Drosophila melanogaster: one gene and its partners. The gene in region 3 interacts genetically with the main gene of each other region. Each region holds a gene or a part of one and is shown on either strand. Other genes may lie near its edges.

What was found.
Region 1: of Atpalpha (region 3) and Ube3a, changing one suppresses a phenotype caused by changing the other (phenotypic suppression), as found in Drosophila melanogaster (one study listed by BioGRID).
Region 2: of Atpalpha (region 3) and sesB, changing one suppresses a phenotype caused by changing the other (phenotypic suppression), as found in Drosophila melanogaster (one study listed by BioGRID).

The regions. Positions count from the first base shown.
Region 1 is NT_037436.4:11,204,884-11,213,043, forward strand, and holds Ube3a (ubiquitin protein ligase E3A), read right to left. Parts: upstream 5,701-8,160; 5' UTR 5,324-5,700; coding exon 5,271-5,323; intron 5,208-5,270; coding exon 4,953-5,207; intron 4,849-4,952; coding exon 4,046-4,848; intron 3,984-4,045; coding exon 3,742-3,983; intron 3,677-3,741; coding exon 3,122-3,676; intron 3,056-3,121; coding exon 2,874-3,055; intron 2,808-2,873; coding exon 2,315-2,807; intron 2,253-2,314; coding exon 1,914-2,252; 3' UTR 1,539-1,913; downstream 1-1,538. Other genes in the region: Plod (procollagen lysyl hydroxylase), read right to left, coding at 22-107, 851-929; CG7600 (uncharacterized protein), read left to right, coding at 6,054-7,878, 7,936-8,160.
Region 2 is NC_004354.4:10,780,170-10,789,806, forward strand, and holds sesB (stress-sensitive B), read right to left. Parts: upstream 6,739-9,637; 5' UTR 6,637-6,738; intron 4,290-6,636; exon of another isoform or gene 4,182-4,289; intron 2,721-4,181; 5' UTR 2,643-2,720; coding exon 2,608-2,642; intron 2,512-2,607; coding exon 2,211-2,511; intron 2,132-2,210; coding exon 2,004-2,131; intron 1,927-2,003; coding exon 1,452-1,926; 3' UTR 824-1,451; downstream 1-823. Other genes in the region: Ant2 (adenine nucleotide translocase 2), read right to left, coding at 28-348.
Region 3 is NT_033777.3:20,946,409-20,952,938, reverse strand, and holds the start of Atpalpha (Na pump alpha subunit), read right to left. Parts: upstream 4,160-6,530; 5' UTR 4,134-4,159; coding exon 4,110-4,133; intron 1-4,109. UniProt on the Drosophila melanogaster protein: This is the catalytic component of the active enzyme, which catalyzes the hydrolysis of ATP coupled with the exchange of sodium and potassium ions across the plasma membrane.

The DNA of each region.
Region 1 (8,160 bases), on a different chromosome or scaffold from region 3:
CTAATTAATACGAATCCTCACCTCAATATCGTAGACTCGTGCAGATCGAATATATCTAGTATAGCCATCGGTGGGTTCAGTGGCCACAGTGAACACTTTGATTTTGTCTGTAAATTAACATATATATGAATCAATAGTAAAGATTAATAGAAAGTAAGTCATTACTTTTGGATTATTTTTAATTAATGTAATTTAACATAAATTTAATAGTTTCTTATATTGCTCGTTGAACTTGCGTAAGCTCTACTGTATTCTAGTTTTGGGTTCTAATTAGAATACAACAAAATGATATTGTATTGTCTGAAGTCATTAAATTATAACGAATACATGTTAGACAACAAGTTCGGCTTGTTTAAAGCAGTTTAATTTCTGAATGTGTAAACGAATTTGCTGTTTGAGAACCATTTTGTATCTTTCATCTCAGATGCAGATGCATCTGAACACTTGAATCTGCATCTGCTCCGTTTTCCGAGCAATTCCAGAGTAAACGACCGCAGCATCAAAGCGAAACGAAAACAAAAGCAAATTAAAAGGCAAGGAGAGATGTGGTCGGGTGGTATATGGATCATAAACAAATTCTCTGAGATATGTACTGCACATACACAGAAAAAAGTAAGGGGAAACTACATTTCGGACTTTTTATGTTTTGAACGAGAAAAGGATGTTCTAGTTTCTTATCAAGAATGATAAGAAAAAACCAACCGCATCACATCCCTTTTTATCTCTGTGCATTTGTGTAATAAGTACGGCAGTGGAATGCACTTAAGATCGAAAAATATGAAAACATGAATGCAATATAATTTTCTATGGCTGCTGATGAACTCATTCTAGTTAGAAATTAAGAACAAACCATTCCAATTGGACTCGGCATCTCCTTGCGACGTCACGGCCAGCAGCAACAACAACAAGGCGCTTTGTTGTATTCTCATGATGCTGGAGCTAGTTGCTCTCTCTCTCTCTTACTCGCACACACAGTGAAGCACTCGCTATCGGTGGTTAAAAATTGTTATAGTGAACAGTACTTTATACTAGTTGCATTTTTTTGTGCTAAATGCTAAGGAAATCAAAACACCTTCCGCTCCACAAAATATCGGGAGTCCCACCCGCAAGAAACTCAGAAACGCGAATAACAAATGTGTGGCTGCGGCTAAGCCGTTAGAAAATATCGCCTGAAAAAAAGGGCCTAAAAAATCCACTAGTCCCAAGTCAGCTGTTGTGAAATAAGGCTTTCACACCTCTTTTTTTTTTAAATGTGTCTAGACTAAATAAAAAATAAAGTTAACAAGTTATTTTTTAAGTTAAAAAATAAAAAGTACTTCACACCGAAATTTAAATGTCAGCTAGTGTGAAATATTGCTTACAAAATGTTTTGTATTTGATGTTTCTATACTAAATTAAATATGTAAATATAATTTAAATGAATCTTTTTCCACAATTTTAATTTGTTAGTAATCTTAGTTTAAATTAAAAATATCTAATATTAAAAAATATTCCATACTTGCGAAAACCAATCTAAATGGAAAATACATCTGTTTCTTCGCCGAACTACTTTAAATTTATTTAGGAAAATATTCAGCGCGTACTGTTTTTAAATGTGGGTGTTGTTCCTAGGGTAAGTTCACATAATGTAGTATGTGGCGTGTTTATGTGTGTGTTTATGTACAATTAACTGGGCTAAAGAAGGGAAACAAAATCGCGTGTCCGTTCGGTCTGCTCGCTTCGCCGTCGCACCATATAAATTGAGCACATATATTGGGTATGTATATATTGTCTCATTGAACAGGTCGTATCAAAAATAAATGGCAGAACCCAAAACGAACTCAAACCGATCAAAGTCTTCGAAATCTTCTTCCCAGAGAGGTGGTGGTATCAGTTCCAGATGACAGACTTGCACTTGCAGTTTGGACCATAGTCTACAGCATGCCGAAGCCCTTCGAGTAGTTGATGGCCTTCATCAGGCGCTCCTCCAGCTTCTCGCGGCTGCTGTACTCGGGCAGGAGGAGAACGTTGAAGCAGGTGTGCGAGGTAGGCAACCGATCGCTATCCGGACCGTGACGCGTGATTAGCAGACGCAGGCATTTCAGGCCGCCAACCGGAACACGCGCCGATCCCGTCGTGAATTCGAGCAGCTTGTGCTTGTCCTCGCTGGGCATCGCATGCACTATGCTCCAGAAGTCCTGGATGTACTGGCTCTTCTCCGTGTAGCCGCCCTCGTACACAGTGGAGTTTTCCAGTTCCACAAAGTCGAATTCCTGCCGAAGGTTTCAGAGTTCAGCAACCGAATGAATTTCGTAATTTGAATTTAGCTACTCACACGACTGCCGCAGACCAGCATTTCAATCTCCTCTGGACGGAAGAGCAGCTTCAGTGGCGATTCGTCCGTAACCATTTCGAAGCCCTTGCGGAAAGCATTGAACTGCTGTTCGATATTCGTGTTAAGCAGGAAATCACTGTACAGGTTGACAAACAGTTCCTTGTTGTGCTGCCCCACCAGTACATCCTGGCCGTTCGGCACCAGTTCGTGTTGTACCACATCACCGAAAACATCGCTATAGCTAATCTTGAAGGTCTGTTCGAATACCTCCTCCATATCCTGGCCCTGATAGTCCAGCATGGACTTCAGACTCTTGTACAGCGCCGGACTCCAGTCGCTGAGGTCTGCGAACGTGCCGCAATAGCCTATCAACTTGCGATAGACCACCATGGGGAAGTTTACGGCCAGGGTGACGTTGTTATAGATCGCCAGGCCAATAATTATACCAATCAGAGTGAATTGCGCTCCGTTCTCAAATGGTGTGGCATTGAACCTGCATATGTATATATATATATTTATATAGTTCAACTGAACAGATTTATCCCAATTGAATACCCACCACATATTGTTGGTCTCCTCTTGCTGTATAAACATTCCAAAAGCCGGGTTAAATATCTCCTCCACGATTAGCTGGAAGAACTCTTTGGATACGCCGCCTTCATCGATCCCCTGCTCGCCGACAAACTCCACCACCAACTGCTTCTTGAGATCCTTTGGATTGCTCATGGCCACCATTTCCAGCTGGGGAATTAAACGTGTATTAATTACGCCTGTTAACTAGGACACTAAAGAACCATTTGTACACACCCCAATAAGTGCGTCGTTGATGAGCTGGTCCCTTCGCACCGTCAGCTTAAGATCCGGCCGAGGATTATCTTCCTGTCCTACCTGGCCAATATTGTTGAGGATGGAGTGAAGGGAGGAGTAGCGCTCGCTATACATCCTCATTCGACTGTCATAGTACAAGGCATCCACTTTTGTTGACGGCGTGAGGATAAAGGCGTACAGCATGAACGAAAAATAGTTCGCGTGGCCGGAACCAATCTCGCTCTCCATGGCTAACGTCTTGTAGGACAGGTAGTCGTGGTGCATCTGAATGTTTTCACTGAGTGCCTCGTTGTAGAACTCCTCAAGTGGTATCAGTGGTTTCCGGCAATCGATTGCCGACACCTGCAGCTCCTTTTCAAACTGATCCTCGGCGAATTTGGGCATGTGCGGCTCCAACAAAGAGTTGTAGACGAATAGGTCGTCCTCCACTGCTGCGCTGCCAGATGCGGTCGCCGCTTCCGTTCGATCCTCCAGCGGCACCCGACACGACGGTCGCTCCAGCTCGCTAGCCAGAATGTTCGCGTAGAAGACAATCTATCACAGAAGAAGTTAACCCAACTGCATTACAAGCCATATTGCATAATAAACCTAACAAATACCTTTAAAACTTTGGTGACACTGATTATGGATTCGTTCTCGCGCATGGATTCCTCGTCCAAAAGCACCTGTAGAGTAATTTGCTGCTGGCAGGCTGCGATCAACGAATGCAGCTGATCTGAACAATGAGCAGCCCAGATCCTGGCCAGGCGCGCCTGTGCCGGCACTGGCATGGCCGACGCCGCTTGGCACAATTTTGGCAGCACCCTGTCCAGATAGTCCATGTCCACCACACTGTTATTGGCTAAAGGGTTATGAGAAAAGCTGTAACTTGAAACATTCCAGGCATACAATTGAAAAACTCACTATTGGTGGCTAGATCAAAGCAGATGACCAGACAGTGAATGACCCTCTCCCAATCCGTACGCATGTAAATCACCCAGTCAGACAGCTGAATAACGCTGCTGGTAAGCTTCTCCGTTATAGCTCGTATTTGACAGCCAAAAAGGAGACGCTGCACTCGTCGCAAACCGGGCAGATCCACCAGTGTGTCGCTGCTTTGGGATGAACACACATCATCGTCCTCTTCTTCGGGCTCCGCCTCTGATTCGACTGATTCTGCAGTAGCAGTAGCATTAGCCGCCGATTCTGATTGTTCGTCCACCTGTTGTGTACTGTCTTCGTCTTTATCGTGTTCCCCTTCCAAAGTTCGTAGCTGCTCCTTGTTTAAAGCCCCCGGTGAATTGGCCAGCAGCTCCTGGAGACTACTAGAAGCCGCTGGTTCTGCGCTGCGAATGAAGCTCTTGCCCAGTCTATCTACGCTGGAGAACACAACGCCGATTGCGTGGCAAATCCTGTCGTAACTGTCAGCCGCCCTACATTGCTCATAGAGCGCTATCAGACTGTTGGCATCCAAGCTGTGGACTGGCGCCAGGGTGGGTGTACACGGTTCCGAGTCGCCGGAGGAGTGTTCAGCGCCGGCGATATCCAGTTGCGGCACACTCTGGGTAAGATATGGACTGGATACGGGCACTACAACGGCAGCTGGCGTTGACTGCGATTGTCTGCTGGTTGTCGTGGTGGTACTGGCTGAGGTAATTGTGCTTGTCGAGCTGCCGCTGCTACTACTGCTACTGTCGTTCGGCGAAAGCATGTCCACGTCCTGGGGGCTAAAATGGGAAAAAATTTAATTGAAAGATAATTACCTATAGAAAATCTTATCGGTGCTCTGGAAACTTTGCTACCCAGTTCCATTTGTTAAGAGAATTCTCACCTGTTGGCCTCCGATGTGAACGCCTCGCAGAGCTGTGCATCCTGTGAAAAGAGCTGCAGTGCTCTGGCGGCCACCTCGTTGGGCGTCATGGGCGCCACCTTGCCGCTGGAGGCGCAATTGGCATTGCTGCAGTTGGCGTTCCCACAGCCGGATTGTAGTTGGTGGAAGTATCGCTTGATTAGGCTGCGCACCGCCGAACGCTTCATTTCGGGCGTGGCTCGCCCGCCCACCGCTCCAGCTGCAGATCCTGATGCACTGATGGGGGGCAAAGAAAATCAGATTTAATATGCCACAACGTAAGTAGCTGAAGTTATTCACCTGGAAACACCTGGCAGATGCTGATCATCCTCGCCACCCCCGCCACCGTTCATCTTCGCTGAAATCTGCGCACTTTACGCCCCCACCGCCGCCGCCCCTTTCTTTGTTTGTCGAAAGTGATTTTGCTCCACTCACAAAACGAAATGGGAGCAAAAAAAAATCGATGTTGATGTCCCTTTTTTGTGTCGCGGCTACCTAAAATTCTTATGCTGAAGCTACTCAGCCGCTGCCGTTGCCTCTGTTGCCCGCTCGTCGAGCGCTGAACGCCGACTTCCTTGCAATCTGATAGCAATCCTTTAAAGCTCGATAATTCGTCAACGTTTTGACAATTTTGACTGTAATAGCGTAAGTGTTTATGAATGAAGCAGGCAGCAACGAATATTGAAAATCATTCTAAACGATGTGCTATCGATGAACTAGTGATATCGACAGCACACCGATAGGCACATTCTTTATCGGACAGTATTGTTAGTCACTGCCGATAGACGTCCGTTGGATGTTTGCACTTTTAAACGTGATTGTGAAACTCCAAGGGATATTATGACTAATACTAATAATAATCGAACTATCGAAAAACTGGTTGCTCGCCAGTGCTGCAAAACACCGGCGGTCTTATCAGCTGTCGACGTATGAAACCAATAACACCGTGTCCGTATTATCGGATCTATCGTTCCTCGAAAAAAAAAGAAAAATAATACGCAGGAAGAAAATACTGGATTCCGTAGCCGGAGCGAATGCAATGAGTTAGTCCGACCAGCCGGAGAAACCAATCCGAGTCGCAAGATGACGGAGCAAGAGGATTTGGCCACCAGCGGAGGTGGCAATGCGACCACTGGCTCTGGAACCAATTGCCAAAACCAACTGCAGCAATGTGTGCGTGGGAATGTCACCTGGGAACTGCTGCCCGTGCACCTGCGATCGGTTCTGCACAACAATCAGCGTGACTACGAGAAGTTCGTCTTTAACTATAGTCTAAAGAATCAGCTGAGGTTCCGGGGCAACCTGGCCGCCAAGGTGTTTCGCCGGGAGCAACGCTACTACGAGCTATTGATACAGAAGAGCATCAATGGATTGGGCGCATTTCCCTACCACCTGGCCGATATCGTCACCAAGGGCTTGAGGGTGACGCCCTTCAACTACTATCTGGATGTTTTGGGTCAGCTTTTGCAAAGCGACAAAAGCTACGATACTTTGCCCAACTTTACAGCAGCCGACTGTCTGCGTGTCTTGGGCATTGGCCGCAACGAGTACCTGGCCCTTATTAGCGATATGAAAACTCACACACCGCGCTCCTTGATCTTCGGGTCGCGGCCCAATCCGCTGGACTTCCTGCCACGCTTTCCGGTGCGCATACACATCGAGCCCTGGTGGCGACTGGACATTGGCTATGTCCTGGAAGCGGATATTCGCTATCTGTCGCCCGCTGAAAGAGGCCTGCTCGATGACTTGATTGACTTTGGAGCCCAGCCGGCTGGGAAATGCGATCACGACGTGGTGCACAGCCTGTACCGGAAGGGTTTGATCTACTTAGATGTGCCCATTAGCGGGGAGGACAGGATATCCATACCGCCGCTGCGCAACTTTGTGATGAATCGTGTGAGCGGGGACTACTTTGAGAATCTGCTGTACAAGATCTTCGTTAGCGCGGATGAGCACATGACCATTGCCGAGTTGGCACAGATGCTGCAACTGGAACTGGATAGCGTTAAGCAGGCCATATCGTTTATCTGCCGTCTGGGTTTCGCACATCGCAAAGAAGATCTGGTCAATCAGACGAATCATTCCAGCTGGGAGGGATACAACCAGCAGCAAACGCCAGATACGCCGCAGATCACACCGCTGAACTACAATTTGCATACCAGTAGCAGCTTCGAATTCGACCAAAGTCCCAAATCGCCAAAGACACCCAAGGAAAGGGAGAAGGACAAGGATAAGGACAGCAGTTCCATAGGCTACCTCTCCTCGGATGGCAACACGAGTGACTTCAGCTTTGCCAACCTGAATACGACACCCCAGGAGAGAGTGAACAACAGCGATGAGCAGGAACTGAGTTCCGAGCTGGAGCAAGAGGATATGTGTGCCCCAAAGCAGGCTGCTCCATCGGCTGCAATATCAGCGGCTGTCTTGCCAAAAAGCGGTAAGAGGGTGGGCTTTCTCTTCGACTCCACGCTCACCGCTTTTCTAATGATGGGCAATCTGTCGCCCGGCTTGAAGAATCACGCTGTGACCATGTTTGAGGTGGGCAAGCTGTGCGAGGAGAGTCTAGACAGTTTTCTGGCTGAACTGGAGCAAGTTTCGCTGCTGGATGCGGAAGGCGAAGGCGACGTGTCGCGCTATTTCGCCCACGCAGTCATTCTGCGTTCTACCATTTGCTCACTGCGACATTTGCTGCCGGGCGGTTTAGATCTGCTGCGATTAGAGTGCCTAGAGGGTTTGGATCAGCAGACAAGAGATCGCGTTCTGGAGAAGAAGTACAAGTTTATAATAGCCGCTTCGCCGCTGACGGCGTCGCTCAGCCATACATTTAGCATTCCTTACTTCGGCCAATTCCTGCGCAGCTCCGATGTGGCGCCCATGTGGAGCAAGCTATTCTACAATCATATCACAGGTAAACTTCTTTATATTGTTATCCCACTAGTTATTCTCTAAATACCTATATATTCAGGCTATGGACCGCCTAGTTTGCTACTCTGCCGGGGAACTGTTTTGAAGACCTTGCCGCGCTTGTTCCTGGGCTATGGCAAACTGCTGGTGAACATCCTGCACTCTGATGCGTATGTGCTCAATTCCGAGAATTTCCGCAGCCTGAACTCTCAGCTCAAGAACGGCTGTGTGCTGCTCCAAGGCTACGGAATCCGCACGGCCGGCGCGCTTCACTATGAATCATTTC
Region 2 (9,637 bases), on a different chromosome or scaffold from region 3:
ATTATAAGGATTGTCCAAACAACTAACCGATTTGTACACATCCTTGAAGGCAAAGTTAAGGGCTTGAGTTGGGAAGTATCGGATTACGTTGGCCAAGTTGCCGCGCCAGAACGACGAGAAGCCCTGCTCCTTGGGAATGCGAATGAAGCAATCGACTATGCCCTTGTAGCGCTGATCTGCCGCGATCTGCTTGGAAACCTCCTGCACCTGCAGAATGAGCTTCACGCGCTCGATAGGAGCCACTGCCGTTTTGGCTATGGCAGCTGAAACGCCGCCCATCATGAAGTCCATGAGGAAAGACTTAAGGTCTCCCTTGCCATGACCACCGCCACCGCCTTCATCGCCCATGTTAGTTTACTGTTTAATGATTTTAAAACGATTTAGTTTAGCTTCAAAGTTGGTTGGTAAAAAAGGATAAAAACGGACTTTCACTTTTTACAATTTTTAATTTTGATGTTACAACGTTGAGATCTGAACTGAGATTGGCTAACGAGGTTGTGTGCCAGTCGGTCGAAATGACATTCGATGTATTTATCGTGGCCTACTTTGACCAACAATTTTAGAAGCGATGAGCGTACGTTTTTTTCCTCTTTTAACAACAGAAAATAATTATAATAATTTAGCTTCGAACTGCCGAAGATTAAATTGAGACGACCAATTGGTTGACTGCACAAATGGTCTGTGTAAGTATGCTAATATAATTTTTGAATTACAAATACATATGTACTTTCATTGCAATAATTGGGTTCAAGTCGAAATATGAAAGATCGATATACATACATACATATGTACGTGCGCAGAAAGAAAAACACAACATTGTACTATTTTTATCAATTTTTATATATTTTTAAACCAACCGAAGTTGAGTTTGTTTGTTGGTTTGTCGTTTCGGAGGCGAAAGAATCTACAGGTCTTCGGTTCGATTCTTTGCATCCGATCGATAACACTGATTTGGCTGGGGAGATGTGGGACGACCCAGCAACATGACTGGATCTATAGTATATAGCCTAACCCAAACTTAACAATACTAATCGATATCGTCGCTATGTTCGTTCGTCTTTCAGTGTAGTGGGTCTAGTCTCATGTGCTGAGTCGCATCCTCTCTCTGCCCCGAGCATTGCTGTTTGCTGTAGTATTGTTGTTCTATTGACGCTGGCCATCGTTCCGTAAATTAGTTCCCAGTTTTTATAAATAATATAATTTCATAATTATATCGGGGTGAGGAAGGAAGGGTTCTTGCTGTTATTGCTTGCCGTTGTTCGTGGTAAGAGGTGTTGGTTGCAGATCAAACTTAGCTTATGCCTTTGCTGTTGCTATTGCTGTTGTTTTAGCTTTTCTCATTCAGTTATCTAACATAATTAGCTGGTAGTGTTTAGTTTTACTTCTTTTGTTTTGTTTTGTTGTTGTATGTTGTTGTATTTTGCTTGTTTTGAATAATTTAATAATTTAATTTACAAGACCTTCTTGATCTCATCGTACAACACAAGCACGAAAGCGCCACCAGTTCCTCTGAGAATGTTGGAGAAGGCGCCCTTGAAGAAGGCACCGGTGCCCTCCTGCTTGGCGATGGTGGCCCAGCAGTGCAGTGTGTTCTTGTAGATGACCTCGGTGGCCTTGCGACCAGACTGCATCATCATGCGACGACGCACGGTATCGAAGGGATAGGACACGATGCCAGCGACGGTTGTCACAACCTGGGCGATGGCCCAGCTGATGTAGATGGGTGTGTTCTTGGGGTCGGGCAGCATACCGCGAGCGGTATCGTAGAAGCCGAAGTAGGCGGCACGGTAGATGATGATGCCCTGCACGGACACTCCGAAACCACGGTACAATCCAACGATGCCGTCGCTCTTGAAGATCTTGGTCAAGCAGTTGCCCAGACCGGTGAATTCACGCTGACCACCCTTGCCAGTATCAGCAGCCAAGCTGTAAATTCGTAGCGAAAGCATTACGTTAGTTTATTGGACATTTTTTTTTTGTTTTTCGCAAATATACCAACATACCGAGTACGGGCAAAGTCCAAGGGGTAGACAAAGCACAGAGAGGTAGCACCAGCGGCACCACCGGAGGCCAAGTTGCCGGCGAAGTAGCGCCAGAACTGGGTGTTCTTGTCCACGCCACCCAGGAAGACCTAAGTTACACACATAATAGCAACCGGGGCGTTAGTGTTTTCCGCTCGCATTGCTAACATGCAGACTGCAAAGTCTCACCTGCTTGTACTTGTCCTTGAAGGCAAAGTTCAGAGCCTGGGTTGGGAAGTATCTGATGACGTTGGCCAAGTTGCCGCGCCAGAAGGACGAGAATCCCTGCTCCTTTGGAATGCGGATAAAGCAATCAACCATGCCCTTGTACTGCTTGTCGGGGCTGATTTGTTTCGAGATGTGCTGAACCTGCAGGAGCAGTTTCACACGCTCAATGGGGGCGACGGCAGTCTTGGAGACAGCTGCGGAGATGCCTCCGGCAGCGAAATCCTTGACGAATCCAACAGCATCGAAATCCTTGCCCATTTTGCTGTAAACACATCGTGCAATTGGCCAAAACTCTGATTAATCTCGACAGTTCCGTCATCGCTGATGGTGATACTTGGTGATACCGATGATGATATACCTTTGTGATGTTATGGATGCTGATATATTCCCCATGGCATGCGGGTGATGGTGCGTTGCATAATGGTTACGATATACGTTTACGGTATTTTTGTATAGTGGATGTACGATTCACTTTGTTTACACGGGTGCAAAAAAAGGCACAATAGAAGAATAGCCCAAAGCCAAATGAAAATGTGAAAATTTTCAATGTATTAAATTATAAACCGAAACCGAAAAACATGCACTTTTTTTTTATTTTTTTGAACAGTTATAAACCGAAACCGAAAAACATGCACTTTTTTTTTTGAACAGCACTACAAATGGTTACAAAACATTTTTGCGGGTGAAGTAAAAAGGTTTTAGCGACAAATGAAACAAATAAAAACATGCACAGTTAGTATAAATGGCAACTTAAACTTAATGCTAAAGGGGGTTAATATTGAATGGTTTATGGAAACATCAGCGTTTTGGTTACAATTATTTGTTGTTTGTGTTAGTATGCGTGTTGGCAGTTGCCGGTAAAACTGGTTTTGTGCAAAAAAGGTGAAAAGTTTTATTGGCCGGCTGGTTGCCACGTGGTGGTTTAAATCGATATAAAATAAGTACTGTTGGAAAATTAAGTTCTAACCAGTTAGCTTTGAAAACTAAGTAAAATACATGGCATTACGTGGCATACATAAATACATAAGTGCTTATCTAATTTATGTTATCTAGAGAATATGACATAAATCAATTGCAGTTCTAGTTGGATAGAGCGGCAGTCTACTGGTTTTCATTGAGTAAAGATTGGGGGATTGCATAATTGCCACACCACACAAAAAAAAAGAAAAGAATTGAATTGAAAAAGTTCAATGGAAAAAGCCAATATATATGGGCATTTGAGTGGGTGTGAGCAAGATGGCTATAGAGGCCACGGTTTTTTTTTTTGGCAGTTGGCATTCGCCATTGAAGCGCGTTTTGTTAATTTTAGACTTTCAAGAGCAGCCGCCGCTCTGCGTTAGCCGTGTGGTTTAAATTATATTTTAGCGAAATTAAATCAGCATTTCATTGACAAGGGTTTTATGTAACACACTTGGCAAAGAGAACTGTGCTTTGCCATTGTTTCGTTTCTCTTCTGTTCTCTTTCTTTGAAATAACAACCGTTATCTAATCGTGTTAGACTTTTGATTGGCTGGAAAGAGAGTGAAGCTTTTTCTTCGGCCACAGCCACAGAGAGCCGAGAGCTAAAAGGCTCGTGATGTAATAGCCTCAGCTGGAAAAATTCTACAGTTGCACGTGGAAAGCTTCCACCGAAGGCTGAGCAGTCGTAGTAGTATCCACAATCCAGTGTTAAGTTTATTCTTAATTCATTGTTATTGATTGCATAAGACCACCACCACACACCAGAAAAAAAATTGTTCAATGAATGATTCAAGTTCAACTCTTTTGTTGTTTTACATAACCAGGCAGATTTTCTTTCAATGCTCAGGTTGGATTTGATTTAAAAAAAAAAAATAATAATAAAAGCATTAGGAACCACACGCGTATTTTGTTAAATGGGCTATGGCTCAATTCGATTCGATAATTGATATCCAATTTGTTTGCCATACGTACAATTTGTATTTGTGTTTCTATATCACAGCACAAAACCGAAAAAAATTTATCCTTATTCCTCGGAAGTCAGAAGTCTGAACCGGACGGCAACTGAATTGCTTGTGAAAGTTCCTTTCGCCGAAATCTGCCAGCTAGCCTGCTCTGCCTACGTCGGCGTCGCAGTCGCCGCCATCGTCAAGTTCAGCAACAGATGAGCGTGAGCGAGAGAGGGGGAGAGCGTTCTCTCTCTATATGCATATGCAGAGTATGCGAAATTCGGAGAGAGCCGAAAAAAAACTAGCGGTTGGCAACAGCACGTGTGCGAGCGAGAGAGGGCGAGAGATCGCCGCTTATCAGTGCTGAGAATTCAAGAATTCAATGTCGCCATTCGTTGCATAAGAGGAAGTATTGTACCACACACTTGTACTCATTAGAAAACACTTTTTGTTTCGTTTTGGCCATGACCAAAAATGCATATATGGCCAATTGTTTTTCATTTACCCCTTTCGAGGTTTTCGACGGCGCTTTCTAAACGCTTGCCAAAATGAATGTACGCACAACATTTACATTTGGCAAATAGCCGACAAGTCAGCTGCGAAGCAGACGGATAGTCCCGTTTAGCTAGTTGTTAGCTAGATTTCTAGAAGATTGAATAGTGTACTTCTATTACACCCAAATACATGTCTTCCTTATTCAACAAAATTGGGGTATCTTTGATATTCAGTTTTAAGAACTACTTGGACTGGCTTAGAAAACTTCAATATACAGCAGTGAACAATTTATTCAAATACAAAAACCAAAACTATTATCAATTTTTATAAAAATAAAAGTTGAAAAGAGTTGAAAGGTTTTATTAATTGTTTGTAGCTATTTAATTGCTAAGCTATTAATAACATTTGGCTTTATTTCTAAAGATAGGGTTGGCAGCACTGCTAGCATGTGACTTTGCTTTCTGACGTCCACCTGCCGCTCTCTCCCTCTCTCTCACGCTTCGTCTCTTTCACGCAGGCGGAAGAGGGGCGGCGCTCGAAAAAAAATGCGTGAAGCGATTAGATAAACACTTCTGCTAATACAGTTAATTTATATAACTGTCTACGACACTTTTTCAAGGTCCCGTTATCACAAAAATTACATAAAAAATAAAAGAGAGCTAGTTGCCCATCAAAAAAGAGAGCGTAAAAAATGCAGTTGCAAAGTTACTGCAAAAATGCTTAATTGCCAAAATTAAACGGCAGCGAAGTTATAATTTTTATGGCTCAGTGTGCGATGAATCGGGGTTTTAGGACAGGGCGTGGATCGGCTTGAAAATCACACTGAAAATTTCCGCCGACTGGGCGAGAATTGGAAATGTGATTCGCCAGGGATATGTAATAATAAACACTAATCTCAACCAAGTGCAAAATCGCACTAAAAGGCCACACAAAGGGCTACAATAAACAATAAATCACATGAATACTATACGTACATTAACGATTGACGTCAGAAAGGGTTTAAGGGGTATGGGAATGGAATAATAATAGAAGAAATGAGAACACTGGGGAAACCCGTTTTTTTCGCATGAATTTTTATCTTTAATAAAAGAAAGCAGGTCAGAAAAGAAAGGGAGGCAACCAAAGAGAAATAGTTACATTACTCTTAAGAAATAAAACCAACTCTCTCTCTCTTCTTCACACACACACACCCGATAAGTACTTGCACGCGCAGCTGGTGTCTGGCATGGGAGTGAGCGAGAGGGCGTTAGTGGCACATGGAATTTATTCGCAACTGTGTGTTCATACACACTCATGTGCGACTGGGCGGTAGAACAATCAATTGCCACGCGTTTTACTATAGAATAGCCTGCATTTGGTGTATATAATAATATATTTGTGCAAATGCAGGCCAATTTGATTCTAGAGAAGTGCAATTCTCTTTGAAATATAATCGCAATTCATGTGCAACATTTTTTCGTACAGACGAGCCGGCCTGCCAACTCGTTGCTATTGCATAAGTTGGCAGTTCCAGCGTGGTTGCAAATTGGAAGGAAATAGATGGGAAAAAGATCCAGCGTGGCTTCTTCCATTTTCTTTCTGGGTATTCTAAATGAACTTTGGATTGGGGGTATAAAATACCGAAAAGTTTGCTAATACGCCCAATTTATTACGTGTTTAATTGATGGCAAACACAATTTCGGCACAATTATTTTTCGCAAGGGTTATGTAAGCACTTTTCGGGTATTTTCAAGTCCCATTTCGGGATTTCTTTTCGATGCAGTTAAACCGGAACTGCTTGTCGAACATACAAAAAAAAACGTTAGTTTAAACCAACACCGACACAATAAAAAAATTAGCACATTACATAACTACAGAATCTAGCGCAAGGTGACGTGAATTAATGGGTAAAAAAAAATCAATGGCAGGTACGGGGCACACCGTCTCTTTTCTTGTTAAGCAAAAGAGCCTCGCAAATGTAATAGATATAGAAAATAGCACAATACCTTCAGTTGATAACTTCTCACAAAAGTCACAGAATAAAAACTTCTTTTGCAGAATCAGACGAAGCCGCGTGCTCACTTGGCGAATGAAATTCGTAAAGTGGTGGGGGTCTCGAGGGCCCAGTGACTTGGGGATGAAAGCTGCAAAAATACCGCATATCGATAGTTGCTTTAACTGGTATTTATTCGGCGATCTATCGATATTCAGCTAGATTTCGGTTTTTATTCGTGATATTTTTGTCGGTAACTTTTGCTAGTATAAATAAATATGGCTATTTTTGATGTAATTAAAACCAGTATATTACGTTTTATTATAAAATTAAGGCAAGCGGGGATTGAAGCATCAATATCGATATTTTTTAATACCTTAAAAATATTTTTACATCGACTTTCCCATTATGTTATATTATTTTATATTATATATTATATTATTGCGAGTTCTGAATTACACAAAAGTTAAAGACTATTTTATGTTTTAATAATGGATTCATTACAATTAATCTGCACGCTTCTTTGGGAAATTAACAACGACCTGTACGACCTCCTTTTGCCAAACTATGATAAAAACTAGTTTGAATGTATTGCATTTAACGCGGTTTTTTAATTGCTCTTTTTTTTACAAAAACAAAAGTTTTCTTTTTATATTAAATCAAAGGTTTGTCCAAAATTGGAATATCTCATACCTCGTTGAAATCGTTCCAAATTCCTCATCGAACTGTATTTAAGTCTGGCAACTTTAATTTTTGGCCATTTTTTGCAAATTTGGTTATCGAAAATGAGAAAATCGGTAATTTGTCGAATTTTGATGATGGTACCCCTAATGAAAAATTGCTTAAATTGGTCAAAAAAATTATTCCTGAAACTCGGTTTGAAAGTGTTACAGATTGTTAGCAATGTTAATAAGCAACACAAAACAGTCATCGTTTTAGCTGAGCCACCTTTTTTGGCCAAGTTATTCTGAAAAATGTTTTTCGAAAATATCATATTCTTAATTTTAAAACGTTGTTGAAAAGGATAATCGCAAAACTTGATTCAAAATGCACTTCTTATATACGAAAAATCATTTATTGAGTAAATTTCTTTTCGATTTGTTTTTCACATGTTCACAAAATTGTATTTGAGTTAGTTGTATATCTGGTTTTCTAATATTTTCCTTGGCCTTGGGATACAATTTAGTAAGCTTTTGTGTCTTTTTATTTGCTGTATGTGGGTCTTGTATACGGTAATTTCGTATTGAGCGCTAGCAATATTAACATTTAGTTACACCGAAATGGGGAAAACATCTTACGCAGATTAGTATGTTATGTATACACCTATGTATATCTCTAGTTTTTGAATCAGCACCCTGGGACAGGCCAGAATACTAGGAGTTTTGGGCGTGCTGAGGGGTATGGTAATCAAATGAAGAACCCTTTCTTTTGAATTTCGTTGGTTGGACAGAGGGGTTAATTTAAAGGCAATGGTAAAGGTAAAAGATAAAGGCAAACAAATGCAAAGTACTGGCTAGTAAATACTGGGGCCTCTAAACTATGACGACACATCTAGACATCGAGTCCTATGTCCTTTACGTGGTTATCTAGATTACTTTCGGGTACATATTCCATGGCAGATACAAAACATACACAGAGTGGATATTTGATATATGTATAGTATATTGGTTATCGTGTACCGATTGTGTTAGCGTTTTGCTTGTGGTTAAAAGACAGTTATACAATGTAATTGGGAATATAGTTTTGTTTTCATCCTATTTGTGTGATTTATTCGTTCGCTTTTTTTTTGTTTATTTTTTTTTTTTGTGGTTTGTTTTTGTTTTTATTTAATTTTTTCTTGTATAGGAAACAACAAAAATGGACGCAAAATGATTGTTATAGTAGTATTCATGTTTACCCATCTTGCTTTTACGTTTAGTTAACTATATAGGAATATGCAAAACGTACACTTAATATATTTTTTTTGGTTTTGTTTTACGATTTTGTTACTATGTTCCTTATCGATCTGATACTATATAAATGCAGCTCTAAAACTTGTATTCTTTGACATTGTTCTGTTCCATCTGTCTTTCTTTTTATTAACTATCTTTCGATCTGGCGGCATCTTGCATTTGTATATCTCTTACGCTTTTCAAATACATTTAATAACATTTCTATAGAAATATTCAAAGCTGAGGTAGTTAATTCATTCATTTATTCTTTATTTTAGTTTACGTTAGGTTATGTTAGTTTAGTGTACTCCATATATATGATCGGTGTTGTTAGTTAGGTATACATCTATGTATGTACTCACACGCTATTTGAATTTATCTGACGACTTTAGCTCTTCTCAAATTCACATTAAATTAATAATTTAGACAACTGTTTGAATAGGGGGTTACGGATCATTAATATATGTATGTCTGGGTACAGGGACAACATCGAAAGCCTCTCGAAACGATCGGGATTATAGGATTTCGGAATCGAAGCCGATTTGGAAAGGAGAGAGGAAAACCAGTTACTGAAAATCAAAAATACTGAACTACAACGAAAATAAAAACAACCAAGGAACGAATTATTTTTGTTTTTTTTTTTGTGTTTTTAATAATATTTTACTCTTTTTTTGTTATATTTATAATATTTATAGATATTTTAGCTCTGTAATGTAGATACAATGTACAGTGTAGATACATCTGGTGTCGTCACATCATCCTCATGTAGATTATGTGTAGATTAAATGAACTTAACAGTAAAATGTAGACGACGCAAAAAAAAGCTCTAAACTAATTTAGGTAAAGATAAGGATAAATTTAAAAATAATTAATGTAAAAATAGTGGTATTTTTTTGTAAGTTTTCATCTTTAATTTTATGTTTTTTTTTGTTTTAAGCTTTAGTATATTATGTGTAAAGTGGTTTCTATATAGTTTGCTCGCCGTTCAAAAATTGAAAAAATGATGTGTGCAGGTTAGGGTTCTGGTGAAAGGGGGGGGGGGACTGCTTAAGGTCCCATGAGGGGAGTTGGGTGCCCAGCGGA
Region 3 (6,530 bases):
ACGATTGCGAATCAGTGGCGTCTTATCAGGTATCCACTATCTGTCGGTACCATCGGCCATCCTCTGACGCACTTCACCTGCTCACGACGCAAACCAGTTCAGCTCAAGTGTGGCGGAACCCAAAACCAATTACAGCTGTCGACGGTTATTTGTTTGCCCGACATATATACCACAATTATTTCTCATTATCGAGCGGTGCGATAATTTGATTCGACTTCGTATAGCTGGATATTTTCGGCTACTGCCAAATTGGCATTTGTCCGCTACTTATTTCGATTTGTTTGCATTTGGCCAAAAAGGCACTTTTTTTATTTTTTTTTTTTTTTTGTGCGATCGTGACTGCAAAAGTAGCTTTATGGCAACGTCAGCAGCGCGTATTAAATTGTATTTAAATTAAAACAAATTACGGACAGGCCGAGTTTGTGTGCAAGTGGCGGCAATTGCTGATATTGTCGTCACATATGAGGCATTAAATTAAATAAAAATTTATTATGACGATTTAAGGAGCGTCGGGCAACAAGCAAAGTGCGAATCAAAAGATACAGGCACAGATTCACACACAATTGAGCTACATATACAACTGTATGTATCTTCTGCGAGAATTCGAACAATCTTTCAATTGTTTGCATCATTTGGAAAACATTTTCCATTCCATTTTCGTTTCGAAATGCCAAGATTTTAACATTTATGGCAGGCAGGTATATGTAGCTATTTTTTTATGGATCTCCAGTGCCAAAAGAAATCCCACGGACAAGTGGCAGCCAAATCCGATTTTAGCGAGTTCTTGCGGGTTATATATTTATTTACTCGATCTAGAATAGTTGGATCGCCCGCTGTTTTTTGTGTTTATTCATTTGTTATGCCTTCCCATTTTACCGGCCAATTGAATCCGAGTAATATTCGAAAGTTATGTCATTTCCTTAGCTATGCATTACAGATTGCCCAGTGGAGCCGGCTTAATCTCGACCCAGCTCGTTTACTTCCTCCCACAATGCGTTCGCGGTAATTGCGGTAATTGTTGTCGTTCAGACAATATTAAGTGCGTGACACAAGACGAGTTCAGAGTTCTGGAGATTCACAAATCTCGTCTTACCGCCCGAAACTCGTTTGAACCGGTGGCGAACAGGAACAATTGAGCCATTGTTGAGCTCCGGCTCAGCTACTTCAGGTAGCTGGACAATAAACTACCCCTTCGGAACTAAGCCACCCCTGAAGGGTAATGATCGATGGACCTTGAGAGACCTACAAGCTGGAGACCAACTCGAAAACAAACGAAAACGAAAATAAATCAACGTACCGCTCTAGAACTTAATCTACAAGTGTTGGTCGAGCGAGTGTTATCTGATAAGCAGACGAAAGGTAAATATAGCGCAAAGGCACAGATACAGATACCGATACCTGGGAAACTGGAGGCCCAGACCCCTAATAGCGGGTTATGCAATCGTTAGTAATTAAGACCCTACCCATTGACGCAAACTGGGCATGTGCCAAATATCACACCGCAGCGAAACAAATCGAAGTCCTTGTCGAATGCAATCTGTGTGCTGGATGTGACAGCAAACAGTCAATGGGCGAGGTGATAATTTCCACATCTTGCGATTATGGCCGCCAATTGATGATGCCCACATAGCGTAGATGGCTTTTTCCAACAAGATCTATTCAAACGGTTTGCCATTGTCAGTTGATTAGATTTTTATTGGCGCGTAATTGAATTAAAACGGCCAATATTGTTTTGCTGCCACGCTTTGATTGCCGAAAGCAAGTCACCACCTCTGTCGGACGGTTTTCTGGTATTTTCCAGTTGTAATTATTATCACTGTCGCTTTTACTGCCATCGGCAATCTGTTAAGTAGTTAACGCGAACCTAAAATCTCCGAGCCGGGTAAAACTGGTCAAAAAGGGAAGGGGCCCGTCTATTCGGGTGCACAAAATATCTGGTTAATATATAGTATAGGTGTGTGTACTACATGTCAACGCTGATAACTGCTGATAGTATTCAAATCCTGGGTGTTAGCATTTAGAACCTGCCATTACCACGTTGGAAGCACATTATTCAGCTTATTTGCCGTCCTCTCCATAAACTCTTAATTGCTTTATCTGCATTTTTCGACTGATAAACGGGTAGATGCATACATACATACATATACCAACTAGTTCTCGTTTTGGCTGGCCCTTAATTCCAAATCATTTACTTATGGAACGCACATTGAGAGGAAGGGAACTTCATTATCGCGTTCTTAGAGCATCGTCAGATTGTAGTTTCATGATTTTTGATGTGCTTTCTTAAATTGACTTCAATTGAAAGCGCATGAGTCAGCATACAAAACGAAGCCACAACGCTGGTGGGGGGATGTGAGATATACTCGTACATAACTCAGCTTTACGCGGATTTGTGCGTGAAATCATAATAGAATTTCCACTGAGCACACTGGGTTAAGATATAAGATGTCGTAGTCCGGCAGATTGAATTATAATAATTATGCAACGTTGTATTCTACACCAACAATATTATCATCAGAATTTGCCCTTGAAAATCCGTTGGGAAATGCGTCATATTTTATAAAATTAATTGTATGAAACCCAACCCAATAAACCCAACCACAAATGTTTTTAAACTTAAAATAATTTGCGTAACTTATTTTGATTCTTAAAATATGCATACCACTACAATACTAATAAAGACGTAATTTTGGAATTACATACTTAATTTTATAACAATACAAATATGCACAATATAATATATATTATAATAATTATATAATAATATCTAAATATATTCTACAAGACACTTTCAAGTCTAAGTGAGGTCTTAAGCGTTCTTTTCAAGTTTTCCCGTTACAAATAATATCTGGACCCACTGTTTGTTGCGAGTGGATTCAGACCGCTTGCTCTATAGTTTTGCATACTTTCGGGCCGTCGAACCAGTATGTGTGTGGGTGCGTGCGTGTGTGTGACCTGCCCTTAGACAAGCCCCAAAATCAATAGAGCTGGCAATACGGACTTAGAATTGGTGGTCTAGCCCTAGGAACAGAACCGAAAGCCCGGGTGGAAACAACAACCCTGGCGAAGAACTCATTACCTTCTGCGGGGTAATTAAGTGGCGTCATCGGTGGGGCATTTAGTAACTAATCGAATGGTGAGGGGGTAGGGAAGGGAAAGTAAGGGCTACGTACTGAGAAAAAAGTACGGTAAGAAGTACGTCGATTTACGCTAATGTGCCAGTGTGTGTAATTAGCAGCGCACTACTCGGCCCAATGACACCAATTCCGGAAGGAGGGAAAGCACGGAAAATGGAAAAATAAACGTGTTATGCAGGGTAGTTTCGTTCTAGAGCTCGAGATTCCAATAATGAAATCTGCGAGATGCGGCGGAATGGGGCGTGGTTCGGGAGGGGCGGCAGCAGTACCGGTTATGTAAGCCGAAAACTGGAAGATTTCCAAGCACGGAAAAGCGAAAAGCTTTCGCGCCGGGAAAGTGGAAAATTTGGGAAACTGGTCGGCCTGGAAATGCAAATTGCGCATGCCAGCTAAGCGCACCTGGAAAGCGAGAGAGAGAGAGACAGAGAGGCAGAGAGAGAGAGAGAGAGCAAGAGAAAGGGAGAGCGAATACAAATTCGAGAAAAAAGTCAAAAGCCAGGCTCTAAGCCCAGGCTATTTTTACAGATCAGCAGGTAAGCGGATATAGGCCCATCCAGATCCAATAGGATTAGTAACTGCGCCCCGTTTCACATTCGATTCCGTTTGCAGTTACCGAAAGCCCGCAAACAAATTAGTAAACTTCGTTGGGCGTCGCCTCGGCTTTGTTGTTGTTGTCGTTGCTTCTCGCTTTTTCACCAGCAACAAAACAAATAGTAGTAGCAGCAGCAGCAGCAAGAACAACACCAAAAGCAATGTACACAACACAGATACACGCACACACCCACACAGCGCACTCGGGCTTCGATTTTTCCCACTAAAAACAACGCCCGCTCAGCGTATCACTTGGCCAATTTGTTTTGGCCCTGGTTCTTTTTGGTTCCCTCGTCATGGTCTAACAACAGTTTAAACTTAACCATTTTCTCACTTAACTAACTTAGTTTTCATCGTAATCCAGGCTTTATTTTTGCTCACCTCGTAATCCGACCTTAACGCCATGTTATTTTAATTTAACTCGATTATTCCCAGGGATGTGGAAAATTTACACAATTCCAACGTATCGATATTTTAGAAGTCGTGACTACCAAATGGAGAGTTATCGGCCTATTGTATCGAATAAGCCGGTGTAGAAATCGGGATGGCAATCGGTTAAGAAAATGTAATTGTAAATATTGCATTATGAATAAAATTACTATTATAATTTGTCAATAGTCCGAACAGTCTGGTTTATTTAAAATGAAAAGTTAAGTATTTTAAATATACCTGGATATTTATTTACCGAAAGTTGTTACTATGCTACCTTCAAATATTAATATCTGGATATGTTTGGATTTCAATACTCTCATTAATAATTGCTAATTTAAAATACCAAGTTAAAAATATGTTTAATTTTTCACCTCAATTTGGAAATAACATACTTTTATGTACTTTTTATATCAACTGCAAGCGTGAAAATTACTGGAGCTGCCAGATTAAAATATACACACTACGATAGTTGCCATCTTGAATATTTACAGATATGGAGAGTTGCCAACGTTATAGTTATGTGTATTCAATTTCAAGAGATAATAAAATACCAAATACAATACGCGCGTCTTCTTGCATTCCAAACATAGGTGGCGCTGTATAAGCAAAATAATTTTAAGTGGCAGATAGAACGAAGTGTAGATGGCGTTCGTTAAACGTATAAATTAGCTACTCTCCAAGAAATGTTCAACTGGACTTGAATCTTCTCAAATTTATTTCCTATGTTCAGTATTGATCGTTGATCATTGTTGCGATGAATGGCTTCAAACGGGCCAGAGATTCTCGAAGGCTCAGCAATTCGACGATCCTGTGGGGAAAAACGCATCTTGGAGATTATAAGTTCAGCTTACTTAAACTAATTAAATTATACTTAAATTTCAAGATACACCTGATACCCCTCGTCATCATTATCCAGCAACTTATCATTGGAAGCACCAACTGAAGGTTCGCCCGAAACCAACAGACCGCGTAATTGATTATAATTAAATTATGAATTTAATTGAGAACACTATTGATAAGTACGAGTCACGATGTGGAACTCAAGACGAAGATCTTCCAATTTGTCAGTGTAATGGAGCTATAAACATAACAATCCTCCAAACGACCAGGCATTTGGAAAACTTATCTCCGTCCGCACAAGATCTCATTTTATCATCCGAAATGCTGACCTCCACTTGGTCGAAGCTGAATTTATCGCAACTCTAAACCCCAAATATAATCAGGATAATTAGATGTCTCAAGTCATTTTGTTCTTGAAGGCTAGCATGTTCTATCTAAGTTAGCTTCCCAGCAAAATGGCATCTAAATTTCTACAGATTCATTCAATTGATCAATTCGGTGACCAATTACAAGGAAATGCCAAATTTGCACACTCTTACAAAGAGCACAGTTTGCACGGTTTCATTTGCCCTTACCTTCTCCGGAAGCTTCAATTGGTTTATCCGGTTAATTAATATTTTGAAATCAATTGTTGTCGACACGAGCACAAACAAGGAAGCAGCTCCAAAGGGGCTGCGGTTGCTTAGGCGAAACGACTTTTCGCTCAGCTGCAGAGCAACCCACTTTCCACTTTGCCCATCCTTTTGCCCGCCCTCTCATCCTGCGGCCCCGTCAATCGATTCAATATCCCATGGCCATTAGAAGGAAGCCGGCTCGACTACAAAATTGAGCCCACATAAGCTGAGGGGAAATCGCCTTGTTGCCACTGCCACTGTCTTCGGGTTTGGCTTTCGCTTTTGCTTTTGCTTTGGCATTGGCTTTGGCTCAAATAACCTGAAAGGCCCAATCAACAGGTGTCTTTGCCTCTGCTGCGTGCTGGTGCTTAGTGTTTCTGTGTGTCTGGGTGTTTGTGGTTCAACAACCGGGCCACCGGCGGCAAGGAGTCAGCTTCACGGCCGAGTCGGATGCCTCGGTGTGTGCCAAGCCAAATGGCGAGAAATAAAACTGGAATAATTCAATAGGAGGCGTGGCCAGCCCACTAAGCCCATGGGTAGGAAGTGGAGGGGGGGGGGTGTGTGGGTATGGCTGCGATGGTTGGATTCAGTTCGGAGAAGGCAGCTTCATAGCTTGCGTAATGAATGTCCTTAGCAGGCTGGGCACGTTTCATGTTTTTTCGTTCATGTTTGCTCTGCCAGGCTCCTGGAATCCCCCATCCAGGCCGCCAATTTGGAGCCAAACGGAAGGACCAGAATGCTGGCCATTAAAGCTCGTGCTCCTCCAGCTCCTTTTGCTCATTTCACTTAAGTTCATTTCGCAATTTAACACTACCAGGACACGCATCAACGAGCTGGCGTCTTAATTTGTGCCGCTTTTTCTGCCTACGCTCATAATAAATGCAAAAAATAGTAAGGGCAAAAAACAAAAAAAAAA